3 linked regions of the Cricetulus griseus genome follow. The protein of the gene in region 2 purifies or fractionates together with the protein of the main gene of each other region. This does not show direct contact. Links are inferred from orthologs where the notes say so. Each region holds a gene or a part of one and is shown on either strand. Other genes may lie near its edges.

Region 1 (2,482 bases), on a different chromosome or scaffold from region 2:
TGTAGAAACGAGGGATGTATCTTAATAGCAGGGCACTTGCCTAGCATGTGTGAGAAAAATGACCATGTTTATATCCTGTGTTATGTAAAGATTTTTTTTTTTCTGGTTTATGGTATTAGAACCAGAGTCAGGTCAAGCCCACATTCATAAGCAGGCTCCTGCTGCTCTCACAAAGTACATGCAGCAGATCCTTAGGTACATAATGACCTCAGGGTAGTTCTTCTGTGGCCTCAAAAACACAGAGCCAGAAGAATACTATTGGCGCACACCTTTAGTCCCAACACTCAGGAGACAGAGACAGGTGGATCTCTGAGTTTGAGGCCAGCCTGGTCTACAGAGTGAGTTCAAGGTCAGCAGAGACTACAGAGAGAAGCCCTATCTTGAAAAACTAAAAGAGCTACTTCCAGGACAGCCTCCAAAGCCACAGAGAAACTCTTGTCTCAAAAAAAAAAAAAAAAAAAACCCAAAAAGTAAATACAGGGCCAGATTCATAAAACAGTGCTGAGTACCTGGTCTCCAGCTCATTGTAGTAAACCCCATCGCCCTCTCGGAAGATGAAGAAATAGTTCTCCTCATAGCCCTTACTGGCTTTGTTCTTCACATTCCAATTGTATTCCCGAGCGATCTTGTAGTCATACCTGAGGTAGAGGCACAGAGTCAGCCCATTTGCTCCTGAGGAGTAAAGGGTACATATTCTCAATTCCCAAAAACTAAACCCTTACACATCATCTGGTGCATAGTCCATCTCTTCCTCCTGGTCCCGTTTTCGTTTCTTTAGTGTCTCTTCCACAGGCAGAAAATAAGCCACAAACTGGTTCCCTTCCTCATCCATCATGCCCCTGGTTGTGGGGAGAAGAGAGCAAAGAAGTAACAAAGAGGGCAGTGGTGGCGCACACCTTCAATCCCAGGGCTTGGGAGGCAGAGGCAGGTGGATCTCTATGAGTTTGAGGCCAGCCTGGTCTGCAAGTTCCAGGACAGTATCCAAAGCTACAGAGAAACCTTGAGCTAGACAGCCAGAACTGTTCCACAGAGAAACTCTATCTCAAAAAACACGAAAGGGCCGGGCGTTGGTGGCGCACGCCTGTAATCCCAGCACTCCGGAGGCTGAGGCAGGTGGATCTCTGTGAGTTCGAGACCAGCCTGGTCTACAAGAGCTAGTTCCAGGACAGGCTCGCCTCCCTGTCTCCCCACATACCATTGGGATCAATGCGGTAGGTGTCGGGGTTGATGAGATCAATCCAAAGCCACACAGAAACCCTGTCTCGAAACCCCCCCCCCCCAAAAAAAAAAAAACACGAAAGGGAAAAAAACAAAAACAGCTGGGTATGGTGATGCATGCCTGTAAATTGAGGCAAGAGGAATGCCAGGAGTTGGGGGTCAGCCTGGGCAACAGGATCATACCCTATCTCAAATACACCCAAATGGGGGAGAGACAACAAGAACCAGGACCACTGACCTGATCATGGCCTGAGACATCATCTCTAGTGCAGCTGCTCCACTCGTGTCCTTAGGGGCCGGGTCTGAGTCAAAAATGACCTGAGCACAAGGGTTGATCCACATCTGGGAAACAGAAGGACTGAAGTTAGTCTGGACTGGATAGGCATACGGAGTTTGCCCCTGCCTCCCACCCAAGCCTGACCTTGAAATCTGGGAAGACAGGCATGACCTCCACTGGTGTCACTCGGGGCTTGCTGTAATGCTGGGAGATCTGGTAGAACAAAAAGGGTGAGAAACAGGAAAAACCCAAGCCACACTTTTGCTTTTATCCCATTCCCCCAATTACCGATTTCTGGGCATCTTCAAAAGTCTTCTCAATAGCCGTGATCTGGCTGTCCCTGTCTTTGTATATTTCTTCCTCTGTGAACTGCTGCTTCACAGAAACCCCAATCCTAGGAGTGAAGAGAAGGTCATTAGGGGCCTCTGGGCATCTCTAAAGTTTGGCCCCTGCCCTCCCTTTACAACCTGTCTGTCACTTACTTGACCTCAGGCTTCTCATTGGAAATACCGTATCTGTTGAACTCAGTGGAGATATACTCTGTCTTCCGCATCCATGGCACCACCTTCGCATGCTGCTGGGATCTGGAGTAGAAGACCAGGCACCTCAGGATCCCATGCTTGGCAGAGCCCACCCAGTACCCGGCACCACCTCACCTCTTAGAGCTGGTGGGAGCCTGAATTTCCTCTTCCAAAAGCTTCTCATCAGCTGGATCCAGGAGAACTAAGGATTGAGGGCAGGACTGTGAGGGATGCCCAGGCCTGGTCTTTGCTGGCCTACAGCAGACCCTCCCTGTCTCCCCACACACCATTGGGATCAATGCGGTAGGTGTCGGGGTTGATGAGATCAATGGTGACCCCCAGGTCTGGCTCAGTCAGAAGGTCATGTTTGTGCTGTTTCTCCAAGGAAGTTGCTTTGTACTGAACAAACCTGGGTGGGAAAACATGCCTGTTATAATTTCCTGATCCACCCTCACCCCCCACACCC
Region 2 (4,392 bases):
TCAGTGTCACACTCAGAATTTCAAGGCTGTAGAGGATGATATATCAGACTTCAGGGTGATCTGGAGCAGGCTGGAGTGAGACAGGGGGAGAAGCTAGGCTAGTGGAAGCAGGACTCAGGCTCCATCCTTGGGAGGGAAGCTGCTGGAAAGGAGGGGCAGATTGAGAAGCTAGGAACACCGCTTTGCTGGCTTGCATCTGGAGGCTCCTGGAACCTGGAAGATGATGGCGGAGGAGGGTATGACTGGAAGGAACTCAGGGCAAATGGCGGATATCAGTGCATAAGAACAAAGGGCCTCAAGTGTACTGTAAAAATGAAACATGAGAAACCTCTTCATAGCTAAAGTCAGCCTTGCCACTGTTCAACCTTGAGCAGACAACCTCCTATTTCTGAGTTGCCATTTCTTCTGTAAAATGGGTTAGTAAACCTTGGTCACAGGATAGGTTCAGGATTCAACCGGAACGCCCAGCATTTCTAAAGCATGCAGGAGTGCTGGATCAATGGTAACTATTTTTGCGAGGACCGACCCGGGACGAACAAGCTCTAGAGCAGCTCCATGAAGGAGGGTCTTGGGTCTCATCCCTGCCTCGCAGACAACACAAGATCCAGGGTTTAGGCCTGAGCGTTGTTCGCTCTCCGCCTCCAGTGTCGCCGCGCCCCCTGGCGGCCGTCAGTTGCCATGTCAACGGCGGGTGGCTGAGACGACGGAGGTGGCAGCGGGGGCAGTTCTCCCTTCCCAGGGCCTCGGGCCGCTCCCTCGGCACTTCCCGCCTTCGCTTCACCGGGAGCACACTCTCAGTCCGGGAAGAAGGGGCATTCCGTGGCAGCTGGCACTGGGGGGTAAACTGAGGCACGCGGCAGGGCGCCGCAGGCAGGTGTCTAGTGCAGGGCCCCACCTCCAAAGGCAGAGGAGGGGCTGTGGCAGTGACGCGCCGAGGGCGGACGCTGGACTGGGAGCGGGTGGGCGGGAGGCGGCGCGGCGGCGGGCGGCAGGTGCGGCCGCGGAGGGTGGGAGGAAGAGGGAGGGGGCGGGCAGAGGGGAGGGAGGCCAGGACGGGCACCTCCCCCCTTATAACGCGCCCCGATCCGGGCTTTCGGGCAGACTCCTCGTCGGCTCTCCCGTCTCGACCCCTTGCCCGGCTGCCCCGGGCCGGGCTTGGACAGGGAGCTCCCGCCCCCACCTCCCCAGGCCTTCCTCCCCACCCGCCGCCCCGCGCAGCCCGGCGGAGGCGGCGCCGTCGGAGGAGGAGGAGCAGGGCACTGCGGCTGGCCCCGGATCGGGAGCCAGAGCGGCAGCAGCTTCGGCAGCAGCGCGGCCCGGGCCAATGCAGCGGGACGCACAGCCGCGAGCCCCAGCCCCAGCGCCACGGCTCCCTGCGCCCCGATCGGAGCCGCTAACAGCGCTGGCGGCGGCGGCGGCGGTGGCGGCGGGGGCAGTGGCGGCGGCGGAGGCTCCTCTGCAGCTCAGGCGCCCCCTGGCCTCTCGGGAACTACAAGTCCCAGGGGGCCTGGCGGCGGGCGGAGACAGGAAGAGGCAGGCTCGGCACCTCGAGGCCGGAAGTGGCCTTGGAGGCGGAAGTGGCGCGGCCGCGGAGGGGCCTGGAGTGTGGCGGGACCGGGAGCGGCGGGAGCTGCGGCTGCGGGCGGCGGCGGCGGCGGCGCGCTGGAGGCGGCCATGGCCAAGCAGTACGACTCAGTGGAATGCCCGTTTTGCGATGAGGTCACCAAATACGAAAAACTTGCCAAGATCGGCCAAGGCACATTCGGGTAAGAGTAGGCCGCATGGGGCCGGGAGCCCAGGACCTGCACTTTTCAGAGCAGAAGTCGGGACGCCCGGGGCCTGGGCCAAGATGGTCCTGAAGCTTCTCTTTCCCTGGTTATGGCCTGGTGCCGCTAGGCAGAGCCGCAGACGGTCCCGGCCTAACCGAGCGGACCAGCGGGGAGGAGCCTGAGGCCCGGGATGGGGGTGGGGTAGGGTTGCCGAGAGGCGCCCAGAATGTGAGCGGAATCTCTCAGAGACACTCCTGGGGGAGGATCAGGGGCCGCGGGGAGAGCGCGGAGCCTGGGAGGGAGGCCGAAAACCACGAGGTGCCGAGTAGCGGCGTACCGGAGTCTCAGGCGGCGCCCAGCCGAGTATCTGGCCTCCTGCTGCCCCTGTTCGCGTGGGGGAGGGGCGGGTCCTGCGGAAATGCCTCACGGGTTCTCTCGGGTCTTTCTCTGTGCCTGCAGGGAAGTGTTTAAAGCCAAGCACCGTCAGACGGGCCAGAAGGTGGCTCTGAAGAAAGTGTTGATGGAGAATGAGAAGGAGGGGGTGAGTATGGTTTACTAGGCATTCCTTCCTAACTGTGTTTCCACATTCCTGCGTCAAAGACTTTGGTGCTGAGATTTTGTTAATACCTAGTGTTCTGCGATTTTCCATGTAACAAGGAATTTGGCTTACCACTTTCAGTTTTGAGTGGCAAAGTTTGGCGGAGGCCACGTGAGGGAGCGTATACTTTGCATGCAGTGCAGGTTGACTCTAGAAGGCAAGCCTTTAATTCAAACGTCTTTAGCGCCGGGTGTGGTGGCACACGCCTTTAATCCCAGCACCTGGGAGGCAGAGGCAGGCAGATCTCTGTGAGTTCAAGGCCAGCCTGGTCTATAGAGTGAGTGCCAGGATAGGCTCCAAAGCTACACAGAGAAACCCTGTCTTGAAAACCAAAAAAAAAAAAAAGAAAGAAAATCCTTAGCTTAGCGTTTGATTTTTGTTCTGTGTGAAGAGACAGTGTGTGCACAGGTCTTTGAAAGGGTGACTAAGTTCAAGGTGCTGTTTTGCTGCCCCTCTCCAAAATCTGGGTAGTTTGTTTTCATGCGTGTCTGTGTACAAAAGCTTGCCTGCTGCTTGAGGAGGCCAGAAAGCTGTGTTGAATCCTTTGGGACTAGAGCTAAAAAAGGTTGCGAACCACCATGTGGGTGCTGAGAATTGAATCTGTGTCCTCCAGCTAGTGTTTTTTGTTTTTGAAATAGGGTCTTTGCATGAGTTTTGTTTGTTTGATGTAGGATATATCTGCTTAGCTCTGGCTGCCCTTGAATTCACTATGTGGAGCAAGCTGACCTCAAACTCACAGAGATCCAGCTGCCTCTACTGGGATTATAAAATGCTGGAATTAAAGGCGAGGGCCATTGGCCATCTCAGTTTCAGGAAATTTCTTATCTTAACCCACAAGTGTTAGTAACAGACTTAAAATCTGTGTTTGGATTGTCTAAAATGAATTCCTAGCCCAGCATATAGGCTTCTTATTACAATCCCTGGACTCAGGCTAAAGGACTAGAATTATTCACAAAACAAGTTCAAGGCCAACCTGATCTAGATGGTAAAATGAGACGTTTGTATTACTATAAATCTTTATATTGTGTACTTGTAATAGTATGCAAATCTTTTCTCTCCCCACCTCCCGAGGCAGGATCTCAACTATGTAATCCTGCTGTGTGTACTCCTGGGTAATGGGATTGGATTGCAGACAGGAACTATTACACAGAAACCATACTGTTGCTTGCCTTTCAGCCTCAGCCTCACCCTCAGCCAGTTCCTTGGTCCTTTGCACACTCGTTTTAACCACTTTTTCTCCTCCTTAGTTCCCTATTACAGCCTTGCGGGAAATCAAGATTCTACAGCTCCTGAAACACGAGAATGTGGTCAACCTAATTGAGATTTGTCGAACCAAAGGTGTGTTTGGATCTTGTGAGCAAATGAGGTTTACCAAGTAAGGCTGTTTGCACCCCTGAGGTGGATGTGCTTAAACTGCCTCTTCCCCGCTCAGATTAACCACACTGCTTCCTCTGGTCTTTTTTTTTTTTTTTCCCTTCATTGGAGTTGGTGCTTTTCGTGGGTATCTGTGGGAGGGTTGGAAGTTGGCTATGAAAAAATTAGGTGGGTATAGGTCTTTGACCTCTCCCCCCCCATTCTGTATCAGCTTCCCCCTATAACCGTTGCAAGGGCAGTATCTATCTGGTGTTTGACTTCTGTGAGCATGACCTTGCTGGGCTGCTGAGCAACGTCTTAGTAAAGTTCACGCTGTCTGAGATCAAGAGGGTGATGCAGATGCTGCTGAACGGCCTCTACTACATCCACAGGAACAAGGTGAGGGCTGGGAAGGAACTGGGGTTGCCACTGTCCTTTACTGCTGTGTGGATGGGTAAACCTGACTGAGCTCTCCTGTGTCTCCCTGCAGATCCTGCACAGGGACATGAAGGCGGCCAACGTGCTCATCACCCGGGATGGGGTCTTGAAGCTGGCAGATTTTGGGCTGGCCCGTGCCTTCAGCCTAGCCAAGAACAGCCAGCCCAACCGCTATACCAACCGAGTGGTGACATTGTGGTACCGGCCCCCAGAGCTGTTGCTCGGTGAGGACTC
Region 3 (3,649 bases), on a different chromosome or scaffold from region 2:
GCTTCTACCTCCCCAATGCAATATGCATGGGAGGCAAGCCTCTACAACCTTAGCCCCAGGTTTTACTATATTTTTATACCTAACAGTCATTGTTATAATAAAAATGTCACACTATTTTCAGTTTAGCAAACAAAAGCCACCAAAACTATAAAGCATTAATATCTTTATTATGGCATAATGCAGTACTTTATACAGTAGCAACTCATTTGAATGTAAAAACATTTTATGTACAATGGCAGGAGAAACAATAGACAGCTTGAACATATAATCCAAAAGTCCAGAGTTATTTGAAACTGTAAAATATTTTCTCTGTAGAAAATAGTAAAAAACGATAACATTTTCCAATAACCCTATTTAAGCCAAGTAACAGCTGAATTATACACATAAATAGTTTAGATTCTAGGACATAGAAGAAACCTATATTTGTTCAGAGAGCTATGGTTTACTTATGGTGTGTAAATGGGATTCCTATTCATCTTCTCATTGCTTAGCAGATCATTTTTCTACAGGCTAATCCAAAAAAGGTTTCAGCCCCTCCTTCTGAAAGAACAGCCAGCATGTCCTTTCATCAGCTTGATACGGCATAAATTCTTATCCTAATAGTGAAATGTTTCACTAAAGCATGCCCAGTAATTGGGCAAAAGCAAAACTAATTATAAGATAGTCATCAACCAAGAAAGTATTCAAAAGAACTCCAAGCACAGAGGACAAGAACCATCTATCTGGTCAGAGCTCAAGGGCAAAGCTGAATCTGAAGTGGATTTGGTGATCAGAGCCCTTTGGTGCCAGGTGTTCCATAAGACCCGATAGGTGGCAGTGCTCACACTAACATCAAATTCATCTCATTCAGAAGATCCATCTCAGTTGATCTAAACAACCAGAGAAAATGCAGCAGCGTGTGATTCTGGTTGTCCTTCAAAGCCTGTTGCTTCCCTGTACAGAATCTCTATGAAGGCAAGAGGACCCCACCACATGAACTTCTGTGCTAGGTAGGATGGTTCGCCAGAGGAAGAACACCAGAGAACGTGGGCAGTTATTACTGGGCCAGGTACCATAGAGTTCTTCAATTCCAGCAAATCAACAACTTCAAATGGTGTAGCTTGTCTTAGAATTCTCTAAGCGGTGTTAACTTTTCCATGGAAAAGCAACCCACCAAAACAGATCTTCATTGTGGCTTAAGATCTAGGCCACTGAGAAAATCGTCCCATTTTTACCCTTAAAAACTAGATTGCCCACTGGTAGATACAGTCCCTTGACTCGTGGTCAGCATTCAAAGCAAGCTTCCTCCCTCCTGCCTGCCTCCTCACTTGTGAAGATGAAGAACATTCTTGTGGCTTCTCTGAAACATTCTTTGGTAATACCAGCCAGTCTCCCTCTTCTCTTAATCACTTCTTGATAAATCACTCTTCCAAAAGAAAGGCACAAGCAGATAATACTTATCCAGTCTTATCTCTGCCGAAAAAACCTAGAGACTTCACACACTTGGGACTTAACTTTAAAGACACTGGCTCCCATAAGAATGTTTTATATACACTATCTGAAATAGCTTTGGAAAGCATTGTTCAGTATCAAACCTCAGCAGACACATACAGACACCAGCAGTTGTTTGTCAGGTCAAGTATCAGGGGGAAGAAAAAGCCCTGACTATGTTGTCCTCCAAAGACTGTGGCACCTCTTAATGACTTTCTTTGGAGTTTAGAATTTAGTTGTAGGGCATGTGCATGCTCAGTTCAGGCTCTAGAGCACGCACAACACACAAAGATGAACTTGCAAAGTCAACAAACAAGGACAGGCAGATCCGTGGTTAGCTTTACTTCACTACTTTGGAAAATGCTGCAGTGAATTCCTACCCCTCTTCAAAATGAAGACAGTTGATGATGGTTAGATCAAACAGTTGCAAAGCCTGTCTCTGCAAGGATTGGGGCCCGGGCAGATGATCCAAAAGGAAGGAAGCATTGGGCTCCACAGTGTGAATAGTTTCTTCTAGTCTCTACTCATGGACCAAATGCTTTACTGAAACTCCGCTTCTGGCCTTTGTTGTCACCTCTGAAGTTTCTATTTCCCCCTCTTCCTCCTCGCTGCCCCTGTCCCCTGAAGTTCCTGCTTCCACCCCGCTGTCCTCTAAAGGCACCGCGACTGCCATCCCGCTGACCCCTGCCGCCTCGATATCCTTCCTTGGGTCCCTCCAGCTCCGGCTGCTCCGTGGCCACAGTGAGCTGCCAGCGTCTTGAATCACGCCACTTCTCCTGTGGGTAGAAGGTTTGTTCCATGGTTTTATTAAATTTGGTAAAACTACAAGAAAAACTTATGTTTCCAAGAAACAAGTTGCAAACAGGTGATTAAAAGGCTGCTAGGACAAATAAATAAATAAAAAAAAAGCCGGGCGTTGGTGGTGCACGCCTTTAATCCCAGCACTCGGGAGGCAGATCTCTGTGAGTTCCAGGCCAGCCTGGTCTCCAGAGTGAGTGCCAGGATAGGCTCCAAAGCTACACAGAGAAACTCTGTCTCGAACCCTCCCCCCCCCAAAGCTGCTAGTGGTTCTTTTCCGCCATCTCTCTGATGAGGCAGACAGATCTGTCTTTCCTCCCTCTCTCTCCCTTTCCATGAAAACAAAACAAAAAAGCTAGTATAAGGCCCCAAAGATGTGTGTGGACCTGTGGAGAGGTGGCTCTCACTCTGCAGTCACTGCAGCTGTCTGAGGCACACACTCGTCACAGCAATGCCAAGTGCACAGGAAAGCATTCAGCATAGAGTAGTGGGCCAGACGCTGGGTACAACTACAGGGAGGAGCAAGGCAGGCCAGCAGCAAGGTCACAAAAAAACAGTAAGGCTGTTTGTTCTTTGTGGCCCGCACTGTCACTCTGCTTTCAGAATGAATACTGTATGATCTGGGTCTACCAACACTAAAACAAAAAAGAAATACCTGTATTTCCGTGACTGCTTCAGTGCGGACATCAAAACAAACTCCCTAGAAATCAAAACAGGAAGAGTTAATCCAGCACCAGATACTGCCAAACACAAAGAAATCTACCACGAAACCAGCAGGCACTGATGTTGGATGGAACATGGCTAACATGCTCCTGAAGACAACAGCAGGAGGTGAATGATTCAGGACATGCAAGTGCCTGAGTAGGTATCCTGTGCTAACCCATATTCAGGAGGACACAATGAAAAGCAGAAATTACATTTCTGATTTCTAGTTTTTCATAATTCAGTTTTCTGTGAGAGCATGAGAAAATGTATATAATTTACGCTGTAAGTTCTTTGATAAGCACTTTCCTTATCACTCTGGAAAAGCCACCAACTAGCACAGTACCAAATTACTACTATAATGCAGTTTGAGCTACACACCTCCCCACCCACCCACAGGCACAGATATCAGGCAGGCGCTTAAGGGCCCTAAAATTTGTGGGCTTCTTCTCCATGCATGGGGAACTCCAGGAACACTGGGACATTCAGGTATCTAGAGAACTTTTGCCCTTGAGTAGGCCTCAGGGACTAACGCCTTCATTGTAAGCACTCAAGAGGGAAGGAAAATTCAACAGGGCGAATATTATGCCCTAAGAACTCTGTCATACAGGTTAAGAACTCATCTAATTGTGTATTGAACCTGGGAGTCTTCACCGAGAGTCAAAGCTGAGTCTTGAAG

The links.
Region 1: the proteins of Cdk9 (region 2) and Paf1 purify together in Homo sapiens (affinity purification with western blotting; 3 studies listed by BioGRID and IntAct, with this or other methods). This does not show direct contact. The link is inferred for Cricetulus griseus from reciprocal best matches to the Homo sapiens genes CDK9 and PAF1.
Region 3: the proteins of Cdk9 (region 2) and Ddx21 purify together in Homo sapiens (affinity purification with mass spectrometry; 3 studies listed by BioGRID and IntAct, with this or other methods). This does not show direct contact. The link is inferred for Cricetulus griseus from reciprocal best matches to the Homo sapiens genes CDK9 and DDX21.

Annotation. Positions count from the first base shown.
Region 1 is NC_048602.1:7,490,984-7,493,465, forward strand, and holds part of Paf1 (RNA polymerase II-associated factor 1 homolog), read right to left. Parts: intron 2,426-2,482; coding exon 2,304-2,425; intron 2,219-2,303; coding exon 2,152-2,218; intron 2,080-2,151; coding exon 1,978-2,079; intron 1,890-1,977; coding exon 1,784-1,889; intron 1,709-1,783; coding exon 1,640-1,708; intron 1,561-1,639; coding exon 1,457-1,560; intron 840-1,456; coding exon 723-839; intron 639-722; coding exon 510-638; intron 1-509. UniProt on the Homo sapiens protein: Component of the PAF1 complex (PAF1C) which has multiple functions during transcription by RNA polymerase II and is implicated in regulation of development and maintenance of embryonic stem cell pluripotency.
Region 2 is NC_048599.1:144,422,153-144,426,544, reverse strand, and holds the start of Cdk9 (cyclin-dependent kinase 9), read left to right. Parts: upstream 1-1,573; 5' UTR 1,574-1,674; coding exon 1,675-1,766; intron 1,767-2,228; coding exon 2,229-2,310; intron 2,311-3,614; coding exon 3,615-3,705; intron 3,706-3,952; coding exon 3,953-4,119; intron 4,120-4,210; coding exon 4,211-4,382; intron 4,383-4,392. UniProt on the Homo sapiens protein: Protein kinase involved in the regulation of transcription.
Region 3 is NW_023276806.1:274,618,995-274,622,643, reverse strand, and holds the end of Ddx21 (nucleolar RNA helicase 2), read right to left. Parts: intron 2,969-3,649; coding exon 2,924-2,968; intron 2,247-2,923; coding exon 1,995-2,246; 3' UTR 147-1,994; downstream 1-146.